3 linked regions of the Arabidopsis thaliana genome follow. The protein of the gene in region 1 interacts with the protein of each later gene in a pairwise test. Each region holds a gene or a part of one and is shown on either strand. Other genes may lie near its edges.

Region 1 (3,722 bases):
AATCTCCATCTTACACGGGCCTGTCTAGGTTTTGCTCCGCTTATTCCAAAACTTTGTCTTTTCTTCTACAACGCTTCGCTTGAACACACTCTCTGGTCAAATTCAGTTTCCTCAGTTTCTCTTCTTTAACCGGCTCTAGATAATATTTACTAATTGACCCCACAAGTTCTCTTAAACTACGATTTTGCACTATACTTTATAATAAATCTAGATTAACCAAATTGACATTATTCATTGCCATTGGACATTGGTTCTCCGAATTTGGATTACACAAATCAGTGAAAAATGTACTTGTGCTGTTCGAATCCGAATTTGGATTACACAAATCAGTGAAAATGCACTTCTGCTGTTCGAATATTCATTTCTCTTTCAATCGTAACTTTCCGTTGATCGATTTGGCTAATATTAGTTTTTCAGCCTTTAAGGCACCTACACGGCCGGTTACTAGATAAGTTTGGTTCAACCAAAAGCCTTAATCCACCTACTTGACCGGCCTGCTACAAAGTCAACTTGGGATGCAACCAGTAATCTTCAGTAATTTAGAGCAAGAAACTAGAGCAGATTTCTCAAGTTTTATTCCATTAACCGAAACACCAACATGAAAAGTATACACTTAGATATTCTGTATTAAACAACGGGAATGATCTTTCTTTATTGAGTATGTGACGATACCTCTTTTTTCATGATCTAAACACAACACACACTCTTCACACACTAGTTTCGAGTTTCATCAAAGTTGAGAAGAGTTATCTGCAATAGCCCCAGCTTCAGTAAGTAGAGGCACAAGCTTGCCTTGCTTGTTGGTCTCCATCACTCCTGCAAAATATAGAAGCAACACGAAAAACGCAGTTAGTTTTTCCGGCAACCCGAATTTCCATTATTGTGCAGAGAATTTGTGTAGGTTTTTCACTTACTATCGCATCCACCGATGTGGTTTCCTTTGATGAAGACGTTTGGAACTGTGGTCTGTCCAGTCCACTCTGATAAAGCTGATTGGATCTCACCTCCATCACCTGAAGTAAACATAGCATCGAGATAATTCAGGTTCATTGAGATATATTAATATACAGGTATTGACAGGGATTTGGTTTCATACTCATTTCATCGAGCTCAAGTACTTTAAAAGTTGCTCCTAGCTGCGTCAGTAACTGCTTCACCCTCTGGCAATAACCACAGTATGTCTTGCTGCGAAAGAGAAAATATGGATCAGAGCTAAGACATTACATTTGAAAAGTAACCTTTAGACCATCTCAAAAAGTGGAAAGAAATACGTTCCTTTTAAGACTAAGCAAAATCAAACTCAAGACTCTAAGCAACAACAAATTAAGCTTCATTTCAAAACTCCGAAAGGCATCCCCAAATCAGTCATAGGAGCTTGCACGGATCAATCTTCAAAAACTCTAGCTTCTTCAAAGATTTCTAGACTAGTCAGAATCAAATTTGAGAACTGGATCTATCAGTATATATTACATGATCACATCCCTAATCGTCTAGGGAACCCACAAATAATCTCTGAATTGGATGGAGAATCACTAATATAAGATGATGTTCGATCTTTCATTCACGACCTAATTTCACAGATGGAAACAACAAAACAAGCAGACAATGATCCATTGGTGCCTCTGCGTCAAATAGAAGCAGACTCTACCCCCTGATGGTAAAGACTCAAACTTTTTGACTAATTCAAAACCCCTCAAGGCAACAACATCCAATTTTCTCAACAAATTCATAATCACGAACGAAAAGAGTAATACCCAGATGAAAAAGATGGGAGATTTCAACGAGAACAAACCTGAAGACAACAACGGGATAAGCAGAGACGATCTCTTTAGCCTTGTTCACCACCACCTCCATCTCTTCCTTGCTCATTCGGTTTCCACTGAACATTGAACCCATTTCTTCTTCTCTTAACCAAAGACGACCACGACACAACTCCTACAGATGTCCTCTGCTCGAGTTTTGTGCCAATCTTGCTGGCAAATGAAGTTTTTATCTCTTTCAATCAAACCTCAGTCAATATTTATTAAAGAGTTATTTGCGTTGAAAAAAAGTTATCTTTCTGAAATGATACTCTTTTAGTCTTTTTTCGTAGAAATTTCTCTTTTCAGAATATTGTTTAAAGTTTACAATAGCGACGACTTTAGAGTTTGGATTATTGTCAATTTTCACAACTCAGCAGCTCTTATCCTTTTTCTTCTTCTAGTTCTCTGCCACAAGTTTACTTCTTCTTTTGTGTAAACGCAGGATGGGAGGTTGTGTCTCTGTATCAATATCATGTGATCAGTTGACGAAGAATGTTTGTAGTTGCTTAAACAGGAATGGAGATTACATTCATGGCTTAGAGGAGAATCTGACAGCTCTGCAGAGAGCTCTTGAGCAGATTGAGCAAAGACGAGAAGATTTGTTGAGAAAGATTTTGTCTGAAGAAAGACGAGGTTTACAACGACTTTCTGTTGTGCAAGGATGGGTTTCAAAAGTTGAAGCAATAGTACCTCGAGTTAACGAACTCGTCAGAATGAGATCTGTTCAAGTCCAAAGGTTGTGTCTTTGTGGGTTTTGTTCCAAGAATCTTGTCTCAAGCTACCGTTATGGGAAGAGAGTAATGAAGATGATAGAGGAAGTTGAGGTTCTTCGATATCAGGGAGATTTCGCTGTGGTGGCTGAGAGAGTTGATGCAGCAAGAGTGGAAGAGAGGCCTACTAGACCTATGGTTGCTATGGATCCAATGCTTGAGAGTGCGTGGAACCGTCTAATGGAAGATGAGATTGGGATTCTTGGTCTTCATGGTATGGGTGGAGTAGGTAAAACTACACTTCTCAGTCATATCAACAATAGATTCTCTAGAGTTGGGGGCGAGTTTGATATTGTGATTTGGATTGTGGTCTCCAAAGAGTTACAGATCCAGAGGATCCAAGATGAGATATGGGAGAAGTTACGGTCTGATAACGAGAAGTGGAAACAGAAAACAGAGGACATAAAAGCATCTAACATTTACAATGTGTTAAAGCACAAAAGGTTTGTCTTGTTATTGGATGACATATGGAGTAAAGTGGATTTAACAGAGGTGGGAGTTCCGTTTCCGAGTAGAGAAAACGGATGCAAAATAGTATTCACCACTCGGTTGAAAGAAATCTGCGGGCGGATGGGAGTTGATAGCGATATGGAAGTCCGGTGTTTAGCCCCGGATGATGCGTGGGATTTGTTTACTAAGAAAGTAGGAGAGATCACATTAGGGAGCCACCCTGAGATTCCCACAGTCGCAAGAACAGTTGCTAAGAAATGTCGCGGCCTACCATTGGCCCTTAACGTCATTGGTGAAACAATGGCATATAAAAGGACAGTGCAAGAATGGCGTTCAGCAATCGACGTTTTGACTTCATCTGCAGCTGAGTTTTCAGGTATGGAAGATGAGATTCTACCTATTCTAAAGTACAGCTATGATAATTTAAAAAGTGAACAGCTCAAATTGTGCTTCCAGTACTGTGCTTTGTTTCCAGAAGATCATAACATTGAGAAAAATGATTTGGTAGATTACTGGATAGGTGAGGGATTCATAGATAGAAACAAAGGTAAAGCTGAGAACCAAGGTTATGAAATTATCGGTATTCTAGTTCGTTCATGCTTATTGATGGAGGAGAATCAAGAAACGGTGAAGATGCATGATGTGGTCCGAGAAATGGCATTGTGGATAGCATCTGATTTTGGAAAGCAAAAAGAAAACT
Region 2 (5,826 bases), on another chromosome or scaffold:
GACCCTAAAGCCTCTGCTTCTTACAAGAACATAACTTGCAATGACCAAAGATGCAACCTAGTCTCATCACCTGACCCTCCAATGCCCTGCAAATCAGATAACCAATCATGCCCTTACTACTACTGGTATGGGGATAGCTCCAACACTACCGGAGATTTTGCAGTAGAGACTTTCACGGTTAACCTCACGACAAATGGAGGGAGCTCGGAGTTGTATAATGTTGAAAATATGATGTTCGGTTGCGGTCATTGGAACCGAGGTCTCTTCCATGGTGCTGCAGGCTTGCTTGGTTTAGGAAGAGGCCCGCTTTCGTTTTCCTCTCAGCTTCAGTCTCTTTATGGTCATTCCTTCTCTTATTGCCTTGTCGACAGAAACAGCGATACCAACGTTAGTAGCAAACTGATTTTCGGAGAAGACAAGGATTTGTTAAGTCACCCGAATCTGAACTTCACTTCTTTTGTCGCTGGGAAAGAAAACCTCGTCGACACATTTTACTACGTACAAATCAAATCCATTCTAGTCGCGGGAGAAGTTCTAAACATACCTGAAGAAACATGGAATATCTCATCAGATGGAGCTGGAGGGACGATCATTGATTCAGGTACAACCTTAAGTTACTTCGCAGAACCTGCATATGAATTCATCAAGAACAAGATTGCTGAGAAAGCTAAAGGGAAGTATCCGGTCTATAGAGATTTTCCAATCCTAGATCCTTGCTTCAACGTCTCTGGCATTCATAACGTTCAGCTGCCAGAGCTTGGGATTGCTTTTGCAGATGGCGCTGTTTGGAACTTCCCGACAGAGAATTCTTTCATATGGTTGAATGAGGATTTGGTTTGCTTGGCAATGCTAGGAACTCCCAAATCAGCATTTTCAATCATTGGAAACTACCAGCAGCAGAATTTTCATATACTCTATGATACAAAGAGGTCTAGGCTCGGGTATGCACCTACAAAGTGTGCAGATATATAATCTTTCTTGTCGATTTTTAAGTCCATCAAAGCAACTGAACACACAATAAGAACAGATTCATTTTTTTCCCTTTAGATTTTTTCATTCTTTAGGATATTCCTTCAAACATGTAATGTATTTGCTGTAGAACAAAGATCATACCAAACTAATGTACTTATTCAAATTCATTTCTGAATACAAAGTGATTTAATTTTGCTTGCTACATGCATTTTCTCAAACTCTATAGTCTACCATCAATGACAAGTAAATTTGTAGTCACTGGAATTGTCAAAGTTTGATTAGTAATCCCTGAATTGTTTGTGAGTTTAGGACTCACTTTGGTAAGGTTTTAAGGCAAAGGAGTTGTCAAATCATCGTCTTTGTTGATCCAATTTGAAAGAAATGCAGAAAATCTAGAGAAATTGGAAACTAAAGAAGCTTGAGTCTATTGCAGAACACAAACTATACAAAAGAAATCGGATTATGTACCTGAGCATGGTCGGAGAAGAGAGTTGCAGAAAAGAGGTGTCTCTGTTTTGCAAAAATAACTCGTTTAGTTCTGATTTTTACAAAAAACCCTCATTTTACATCTTCTAACAATAATTAATAATTAATTTTAGTTAAAGAGATATTGATTACTTAATAATTCTTTTAAGCCAAGAGTAATTAATTAATTAATTTATGGCAGTAATTGTTGTATATTCTAGTGTGCCGTACCACTTGTAGCAATTAAATTTAGTAGATAGTATATTGTGTTGTCCAGGAAATATATAAATATAAAAAATAATTTTTATTTTTGTCTCTCAGACCAGACCCAACCCATCTCCTACAACCATCTGTCTCGGTGGTGTTCTTTGATCCTCTCTCTCTTACAAACCTAAAATCTAGGCATTCGATCTCTTGGGGAGGATCGAGAAGAAAAGAGCGGATTCACGATGAAGATCTTAGCGACTCTTTTCGAATCAACCAAGGATAAATGCTATGCTCCTAGCTTCATCGCCGTCAATCTCTGTTTGGCTTTTATCGATGCCGCTCTTGCTTTCATCGCATTCCTTCAGGTTCTGATTCTTGGTTCTTCTGATTTCCTGAAAGAAAAAGAAAAAATCAGTCTTGATTTGTGAATGCTAGATTGTGTGTGACCGTTAAGGCCTGTTCGGACAGGTGAAGCATTGTGCTTATTGATTAAACGAGATGTGAGATTATTGATTCTTGATGTTGAATTTAATGAATTGGTTGATTTCAGTCTTTAGAGTTGTGTGTCTGTTGTTCATGTGGTTGACCATTAAGTTTAAAGGTCAACTCTATGAATAACTCACGGAGCTGAAGTGTGTTTGTGTAGAATGAGAGATTTGGATTCAGGGAATCTGAATATGATATGAATTATTAGCATTAGAAAGTAGAATCTTTTTTTCTTTTTTAAGTGCTATGTGTGTAGATTAAGATGTTCTTTTCAAAGGTTCCTATGTAGTTTTAGACGGTGAAGTAATAAAAAAAAAGTCTTATTCTCTTCTTTTTTTGTGGGGTTTGGCTTATAAGATTTATCTTGGCTGCCTACTTCTTTCAGTTATCTCGATTTCACAGGCGGAATAAACAAGTTGGATGGACTCGGCAAAAAGTATTTCTTCTCATCCCAACCAATTTAGGCTCTATGTTATTGTTATATGGTTACAGTTATTGTTACTTTTCATGGCGTGTATCTGACACATCCATCATGAAAATTGCAGGTACTTCATCTTATGATTGCTTCTTCAAACACTGGTAAATCCTCAGTCATTTGTTGTTCAGGAACAATTATAATTGGGGGAAGTTTTAGCCAGTGAGTAAGGTCTCTATTCGTATATATTGGCAGGTTCTGTTATTTATTTCGTGGCTGCGGTTATAGCGACTTGCACAAGGTGGCATCATTGGTCCAACGCATTAGGTTTTCTACTCATGGGTAAATATTTCATTCCTTTGTGAAGGTTTGTGTATGTTTTTCATTGATTTGTCTTATAGTTAATTCCCTGATGAATCAAATTGTACTTGCAGCCTTTCCCAAAATTCTGTTTCTGGCAACTTTTCTCCTGCTTCTCTCTTTCTGGTATGTATATTCTCAATACTCTGATCATATTGTGTTGTCCCTGATTATTTTATCTTAATAATGATCTGAGATAAGACAATGATGCTTCTTCATGTTATAGGGTAGATGTTTGCCATCAGGGAAATGGAGAGGAGGATGATGATGATGATGAAGAAAATAGCATCCAACAAGTGTTGCTTGAAAAAAGCAAGAGCAAGCCAGGTTCTTCGAATGCAAGTGATCGTAGAAAGTGTTGCTCTTTCCATGGTATTCATGTTGGAACCCGGCAGAAGTTTGTTGTTGCGGTATGGGATACTTTCAGTTTTGTGCATTAACCTCTAGCCAAGTCATTTCTATGATCTTTATAAAAATGTTTATCTTTTTTGCTAGGCAATTATTCTTGTGTTCATCTTAATGATATCATTTGCAATCCTTATCTGGATCGCTTCCGGAAAGAATCCTATGAATTCTTCATTATTGGCTGAGGTATGTGGTATTCCTCTGCACATTGATATTTCCTCTTTCACTAAGTTCTTAAGCTCGAGAAATAGAAGACTTTTGTCTATATTTTTTCTGGTTTTATGATAAACTCACTTCCTTATATAGGTGTATGTCGATATTTTTGCTGCAATAATCCTAATCACTGGAGGAGGAATCTGCTTCTATGGTAAGTGATTTCTTAAGTTCTTTTCTGGTTTCAGCTATTCATATTTTTCTTCTAGCAATTCGTGAGATGTTTTGGTCAGTGGTTTACTGGCTTATTGCTATGATTGAACAGCGTATATTCACAAACTCTTTTATGTTCTTTAGGCCTGCGTCTGCTCTTTAATCTAAGAAAGGTGCGGTCTGAACAAGTTTCATCAGAGATGCGAAAGGTAACTAATGATTCTTTGGCTCAACAAGCTTTTCTTTCTTTGCACATGTCAGTCGAATCCTTACCCTGAAAGTACATTTTAACCATTTATAGGTATCGGGTCTAGCAGGAGTCTCAGTTGTTTGCTTCACTGTTAGCTCTTTAATCGCTCTTCTCACACACATTCCAGTAAGTCATTATCACTCAAAAAAGTATGTCTGTAAACCGAAACCTAACATTCGTCGATACATTTAACCAAAACCAATCTTTGATCTCAGCTCTTTTATCATTGGAACCCAAGCAAATTACACGGCATCAAAGCATTGGTTCTTCTGATCATATACTATTTCATAGGTGAAGATTTTTTTCTTTCGTTTTGTTGTTTTGAAGACCTTCAAATGCAGGGTTACTGATAAGAACGCTTTTTAAAGGTTCCACCGTCCCATTGGCTTTCGTTTTATGGGTTTTGCGGGAGTTACCCCCTCAAAACATTGTGAGTAGGCAAGAAGACACCAGAAGGATTACTTATGTCAACTATGAAACTGTTCCAAGGCAACCTCAAGGTCCTCAACAAGACTGGGCCTCCGCCACAGTGTCGAAAAATCAGGTATACAATTCTCTTGATGAACATCTAAATTAGGAAGTCATGTCTGACACATACAAGGAGTTTTATAGTAAGCTGTAAATGCATGCATCAGATAAACTAGGGGTGGGAATATAAACCGAAGCAAACCACAATATTTATAGCTAACTAACTCTATTTAGATAAGAAAAACTCAAACCGTATGCTCACTTTTAAGATAAACGCAATGTTGAGAGCATTCGAGAAAGGTTTGAACGAATTGCGGTCTGAACATGAATACATAGTTGAAACACTACGAAAAATCCTCAAATGAGAAAGAAGTTTTCATTCTATTAGTGACTTCTGAGGTTATTTCAGAGTTTCCTTTTTATCGACCATAGATTGTTTAGGGAGGTCACTTAACAGTTTTTGGTTCGGAAACGACGGCGCAGGTGTCTAAAGCAAGTCCTATATGAACCAAACAATCATCATAATCATTGACCTGAAGCAAACATCCGCCAATCTTCTTTTGTAGTTACCGGGAAAAAGCCTCGTGGGATTGCAGAATGGTTCTTAGGCCCAATGTGGTGTGTTGTGGTGGAGTGAATGAAAGTGGAAACAAGCTCGTTTTCTTCTCTCTGAGTCGCCTTGGAATACAAAAATTTGTTTATAAGATAGAAATGGAGGTTTGAATCTGAGAAAGCTGTCTGTAAATATTAACTTTTGATTGCAATTTATAGTTTAGCATCATGTGTTGGGGGGACTTGTGGATGGATATAAAATGTGTTCCAAGGAAGATATAATTTTGTCTTCCTTTCTAAACAGCGTCGTTTAAGCTGCTTTGTTATCATTTACATATACGACGACGCATCATTCTGGTTTTAAAGATGGCATATTACGTTTGAGATTAAACGCCACCGTTTTCGAAAGATAGCACGGGCATTATACGATGTCGTATTGCTTCCTCTTTCGAAAATTTGTTAGCGCGATTTTGTTAAACTTTTAGCGCCATTTTTTTTCACATTAAAAATTTGAGACCCCGAAACGGTATCGTTTGTTGGATGTTATCCTAAAATTGACGGATCTGATATGAAAAAAAAAATCCTTAAAAAAACCGTTTGAGAACTTTTTGGATATTTGTGGTCTTCTCTTTTCGTCTTTCTTCTCCACTGTCACCTTCCTCGCTAAGCAAAAGAATTTAGAGAGAGCTTCGTACTATGCCCAGAGAAAAAAGCAAAAAGCGAGAGCCAAAAAGATAAGAAAGATCAAAAGATGAAAAAGCTTAGACGTAAAAAAGCAGAAATATATGTATATAGAATTAACAAGTCTCTCGAAGAAAACCCTTTAGCCATCTTTATCAATCTCTTTTCTTTTGCGTTCTCTATAAAGTTGGTATAAAAG
Region 3 (4,737 bases), on another chromosome or scaffold:
TCTTTCAATGTAAACATGGAAAAAAAAATAAAAAAACTGGTACATTTTGTATGCATTTTTGCGGTTATAAACTTTGGAATTGTAAAGAATGAACTAGATTTTAACCCGCGGTACACCGCGGAGACAATTTATTTTTTTAAATTAGTATATATAAAATTTTACAAATTATGTCTATCTATAAAATATTTTTATTTTATAGTTTATAATTGTTATTAAGTAACGTCCTTCTAAACCCGTTCCACCAAACTCGTCCTGTAAAAATAAACCGCGGTACCCCGCTAATTTAAATTTATAATTAAAATAAATATTTTACGGGATTGCAATTGTGTTTTAGTTTGTCAAACAAAATTTTGTTTTAAATAGTTGTCGAAATGTAGTTCAAATTTTGGAGACATAAGATTTAGTGAATAGATAAGAAATATATTTAGTTGCGTTTCGCTCATTTTAAGGGATTGCAATTGTCTTTTGGGTTGTCAAACATTTTTTGTTTTAAATAGTTGTCGAAATCTATTTCAAATTTTGGAAAAATCTGCGTGATATATGGGATTGGAATATATTTCGAATGTTTTTTTATTTGTTAATCAATTTATTGCTAAAAAAACAATAATTAAAAGCCAATGGTAGCCATTGTAAATAAATTCCAACTCCAGGATTTATTTCACAAAATGACTGCAACAATGTATATATAGATTCTATTTTTATGAATATAATTCCCTTTATATTTGGAGACTATTTCCTTTGAATGATGACTTGTCTGAATACAAATCTTCTCGTAAGTCCTTAAAGGATATTTGGTTTCCCACGAATCAAGCCAATACAAGTTTGTGTATGTCATTTATGTTTAAATGAGTTTAGTTGGCAAAGTAATCAAAATATTTCATTTCGAGAAGAACATATAGCTTACACGCCTCATAAGTTAGTTACCTACAGAAACTTATATGGTGGGGTGATATACTTTCGGATTCTAGGTAAGATATAGTATATGTGCGTTACTATTGCTCATACTATAAAAATCACCTTTTGGTTTTGAGTTATCATTTTGAAATCTACACATGATTGCGTGTACTCATTATTTAAAGTCGGCATAGATTTCTCCATATATATGTCATGATTCCATGAATGTTCTTTTAACATCTTAATGCGATAACACTTTACATTGAAATATTCAAGAAAAAACCAAGCTGTTTTCTAAATAAATTTAGTTTGTCCACGGTTAATAAAATTTAAAATTAGCGAAATACGTAAATAATCAAATGATATAACCAAAATGCCTATTATTTTTAAAACAACATTTTATTTTCTCTAATCTCATAAAATACTCTAATAAAATCTAGTTGTAAGTGAAAATAACACTAAGCTTCAAACACACACGTACATGAATGTTTGTTTTTTTCTTTCAAAAAAGCTGAACAATGACATTTTAAGTCCAAATGAAAACGATGGTATCATCTTGGACTTCCAATTTTCCATTGCCCATATTTTCTCTTTTCTTTTGTTTTTATCCAATTGGTATCGAATCATTCATATAAAATTATAAATCATGAAGTCAAATTTTTCAATAGTAACACTTGAGTAATAGTGGTCCTACCAACTTTTTACCAAGACAGATATATTTTTTTTAATACACTTTTTACCTTTTACTGTGTTTGCCTCAAATGAGTGTTTTTACCAGTTTCTGTGTATATAAATCTGCACTCCACTCTCAGTTTATCTTCATCCACAAGACAGTTCTTTAACAAAGTCATTAAACATTTCCCTTACCTTCTAAAGATCAACTCTTTCAAACACTTACTCTGCATGTAACTTCATAGATTGAACGAAGAACCAAAAAAACAGAGCAAAACAAACAAAAGATGGTTCAAAACCACCAAACAGTTCTCGCCGTCGATATGCCACAAACCGGCGGCTCCAAGTACTTGGACGACGACGGGAAAAACAAAAGAACTGGTAACAATGTTTCTCTCTTTCTCTTTAATTCATATTGAGACTTGGTTCTCTAATTATTCAAAAAAATATTAATTTGAACTCGAAACCTGCTCTGATTTAGTTATGTTGAAAAAACGAGAAAGTTGAAAGTTTTTAAATTTTGGGTTTTAGGGAGTGTTTGGACGGCGAGTGCACACATAATAACGGCAGTGATAGGTTCGGGAGTTTTGTCACTAGCGTGGGCTACGGCGCAGCTAGGTTGGCTCGCCGGACCGGTGGTGATGTTGCTCTTCTCTGCCGTCACTTATTTCACTTCTTCTCTTCTTGCTGCTTGTTACCGCTCCGGCGACCCTATCTCCGGCAAGAGGAACTACACTTATATGGATGCTGTCCGATCAAATCTCGGTAAATACAAAACTTCAAAGTAGAAATCGGACAATGGAGATCAGATCAGAACAGAGCATTAACATTTTTCATTGTTCTGTATAGGTGGCGTGAAGGTGACGCTATGTGGGATTGTTCAGTATCTTAATATCTTTGGTGTTGCTATTGGCTACACAATTGCTTCAGCTATAAGCATGATGTGAGTGTTCTCACTAATTAACTCTTAAAACTACGAAGTTAGGTAATGGACCAAATAGGTTTTGATGATAATAAAAAATAAACAAAATTTTGTTTTTGAAAAACAGGGCAATAAAGAGATCAAACTGTTTCCACAAGAGTGGAGGGAAAGATCCATGTCACATGAACAGTAATCCTTACATGATAGCTTTTGGATTAGTCCAGATTCTATTCTCTCAGATTCCAGATTTTGATCAACTTTGGTGGCTCTCAATCCTCGCCGCCGTTATGTCCTTCACTTATTCCTCAGCCGGTCTCGCCCTCGGCATAGCCCAAGTTGTCGGTTCGTTTCTTGAACCATAAAGCTTCTAGGGTCTTAAATAAGAACTTTCATAGGTAAAAAACTAATAGGTTTTATGTGTTTTGGTTTCATCAGTTAATGGGAAGGTGAAGGGAAGTCTCACTGGGATTAGCATAGGAGCAGTAACAGAGACACAGAAGATATGGAGGACCTTTCAAGCTCTTGGAGACATTGCTTTTGCTTACTCTTACTCCATTATCCTCATCGAGATTCAGGTACTTATACCTTCTTTACAAGTCTTGATGATCAAAGCCATTAATTACTGGTCCCATCATGAAGCTTTTTTTATTCTGGGATCTGAAACAGGACACAGTGAAGTCACCACCATCAGAAGAGAAGACGATGAAGAAGGCAACACTTGTGAGCGTCAGTGTAACGACTATGTTCTATATGTTGTGTGGATGTATGGGATATGCAGCCTTTGGAGACTTGTCTCCGGGAAATCTCTTAACCGGTTTCGGGTTTTATAATCCTTATTGGCTTCTTGACATTGCAAATGCAGCCATTGTGATTCACCTTATTGGTGCATACCAAGTCTATTGCCAACCTCTGTTTGCTTTCATCGAGAAGCAAGCTTCCATTCAATTCCCTGATAGTGAGTTCATTGCAAAAGATATCAAAATTCCAATTCCTGGTTTCAAGCCTCTCCGCTTGAATGTCTTCAGGTACAAATCTTGCCTTTAAACTAATGGGATCTGAGTTTTAAACATGATGTGTATGTAATAATCAAAGCTTCTGTGTGGCGTGGAATGGCTTACTCAGGTTGATATGGAGGACAGTGTTTGTGATCATAACGACAGTTATCTCAATGCTTCTTCCGTTTTTCAACGACGTTGTGGGTCTGCTCGGGGCACTAGGGTTTTGGCCATTGACGGTGTATTTTCCAGTGGAAATGTACATCGCGCAGAAGAAGATACCTAGATGGAGCACCAGATGGGTTTGCCTTCAAGTCTTCAGCTTAGGGTGTCTAGTAGTTAGCATTGCTGCAGCTGCAGGGTCCATAGCTGGAGTACTTCTTGATCTAAAGTCCTACAAGCCATTTCGAAGCGAATACTGATCAACTTGAATAGTAGCCAATTCAAAGCGATGACTAAGTCAGTTTTAAACACAATGGATTTATCAAGAACAGTCAAGAGAACCAAGAACCATGAATTTGGGAATTTTGATCAGCTTTTTTTTATATAGATAGAAGCAATAATGCTGTTAGTTCTTCTCTATAATCTTCTCTGTACCCTGAAGGCAAGAATTGTAGTCCTAATGAGTAAATCTTCGATTAATGACAGAGTCATGTGCTGCAACAGAATCATGAACTAGCACCATAATAGTATATTACCATTGTGGTAAAATTTCAATAACAAGTTCTTGTACTTGCTCTTCTTTCCATGATCTGATATTTGCCGTATGAACCATTCACTAAGGCACACAAGTATGGATTATTTAAGCGAAACAATCACCAGAGCAGTGCAGTAACAAAAGATCAAGACTTTATCAATGCCATCATAACTTACATAACTGAGTCATACATATCAATTCGCTTATTCAGTCTACAACTAGCAAAGATTTCTAATTCCTGTAAATCACATACTGTAGATTCCACATTCGAGGTCCTCAAATATCAACTTGCAGCAAGAAGCTTTTGCAACTGACCACTCTCCAAAGCAGCTCCAAGATCTGAAGCAACAAGATAAACAGCCAAGGCTTGTGAGTTACAAGGGAAATTTGGACAAAAGAATGAAACTTGGAGGAGATAGTGAGCTCATCATACCATCTGATCCACCAATATGCTTGCCGTTAACAAAAACTTGCGGGACAGTACGACGACCAACGAATTCTAAAAGCTCATACTGGATTTGATCTCCGTCCTCTGCAAAAACAAATCTCTCAGAAGT

What was found. Proteins that work in one complex are often made in the same cells at the same time.
Region 2: the proteins of GRXC1 (region 1) and Cand3 interact in a protein complementation assay, tested with the Arabidopsis thaliana proteins (one large-scale study listed by BioGRID).
Region 3: the proteins of GRXC1 (region 1) and AAP3 interact in a protein complementation assay, tested with the Arabidopsis thaliana proteins (one large-scale study listed by BioGRID).

What each region holds. Positions count from the first base shown.
Region 1 is NC_003076.8:25,284,526-25,288,247, reverse strand, and holds GRXC1 (Thioredoxin superfamily protein), read right to left. Parts: upstream 2,072-3,722; 5' UTR 1,897-2,071; coding exon 1,793-1,896; intron 1,186-1,792; coding exon 1,097-1,185; intron 1,014-1,096; coding exon 915-1,013; intron 817-914; coding exon 731-816; 3' UTR 554-730; downstream 1-553. Other genes in the region: AT5G63020 (Disease resistance protein (CC-NBS-LRR class) family), read left to right, coding at 2,246-3,722. UniProt on the Arabidopsis thaliana protein: Has a glutathione-disulfide oxidoreductase activity in the presence of NADPH and glutathione reductase. Reduces low molecular weight disulfides and proteins.
Region 2 is NC_003074.8:21,837,448-21,843,273, forward strand, and holds Cand3 (tobamovirus multiplication protein), read left to right. Parts: upstream 1-1,737; 5' UTR 1,738-1,886; coding exon 1,887-2,009; intron 2,010-2,487; coding exon of another isoform or gene 2,488-2,515; coding exon 2,516-2,566; exon of another isoform or gene 2,567-2,675; coding exon 2,676-2,709; intron 2,710-2,800; coding exon 2,801-2,887; intron 2,888-2,979; coding exon 2,980-3,031; intron 3,032-3,131; coding exon 3,132-3,315; intron 3,316-3,400; coding exon 3,401-3,496; intron 3,497-3,616; coding exon 3,617-3,677; intron 3,678-3,820; coding exon 3,821-3,885; intron 3,886-3,977; coding exon 3,978-4,052; intron 4,053-4,141; coding exon 4,142-4,217; intron 4,218-4,294; coding exon 4,295-4,470; intron 4,471-4,877; coding exon of another isoform or gene 4,878-4,901; exon of another isoform or gene 4,902-4,960; coding exon 4,961-5,002; 3' UTR 5,003-5,316; downstream 5,317-5,826. Other genes in the region: AT3G59080 (Eukaryotic aspartyl protease family protein), read left to right, coding at 1-972.
Region 3 is NC_003070.9:29,074,369-29,079,105, reverse strand, and holds AAP3 (amino acid permease 3), read left to right. Parts: upstream 1-1,715; 5' UTR 1,716-1,853; coding exon 1,854-1,947; intron 1,948-2,097; coding exon 2,098-2,331; intron 2,332-2,415; coding exon 2,416-2,509; intron 2,510-2,615; coding exon 2,616-2,830; intron 2,831-2,923; coding exon 2,924-3,063; intron 3,064-3,154; coding exon 3,155-3,513; intron 3,514-3,610; coding exon 3,611-3,905; 3' UTR 3,906-4,227; downstream 4,228-4,737. Other genes in the region: AT1G77370 (Glutaredoxin family protein), read right to left, coding at 4,464-4,519, 4,614-4,737. UniProt on the Arabidopsis thaliana protein: Amino acid-proton symporter. Stereospecific transporter with a broad specificity for GABA, tryptophan and both neutral and basic amino acids. High affinity transport of cationic amino acids.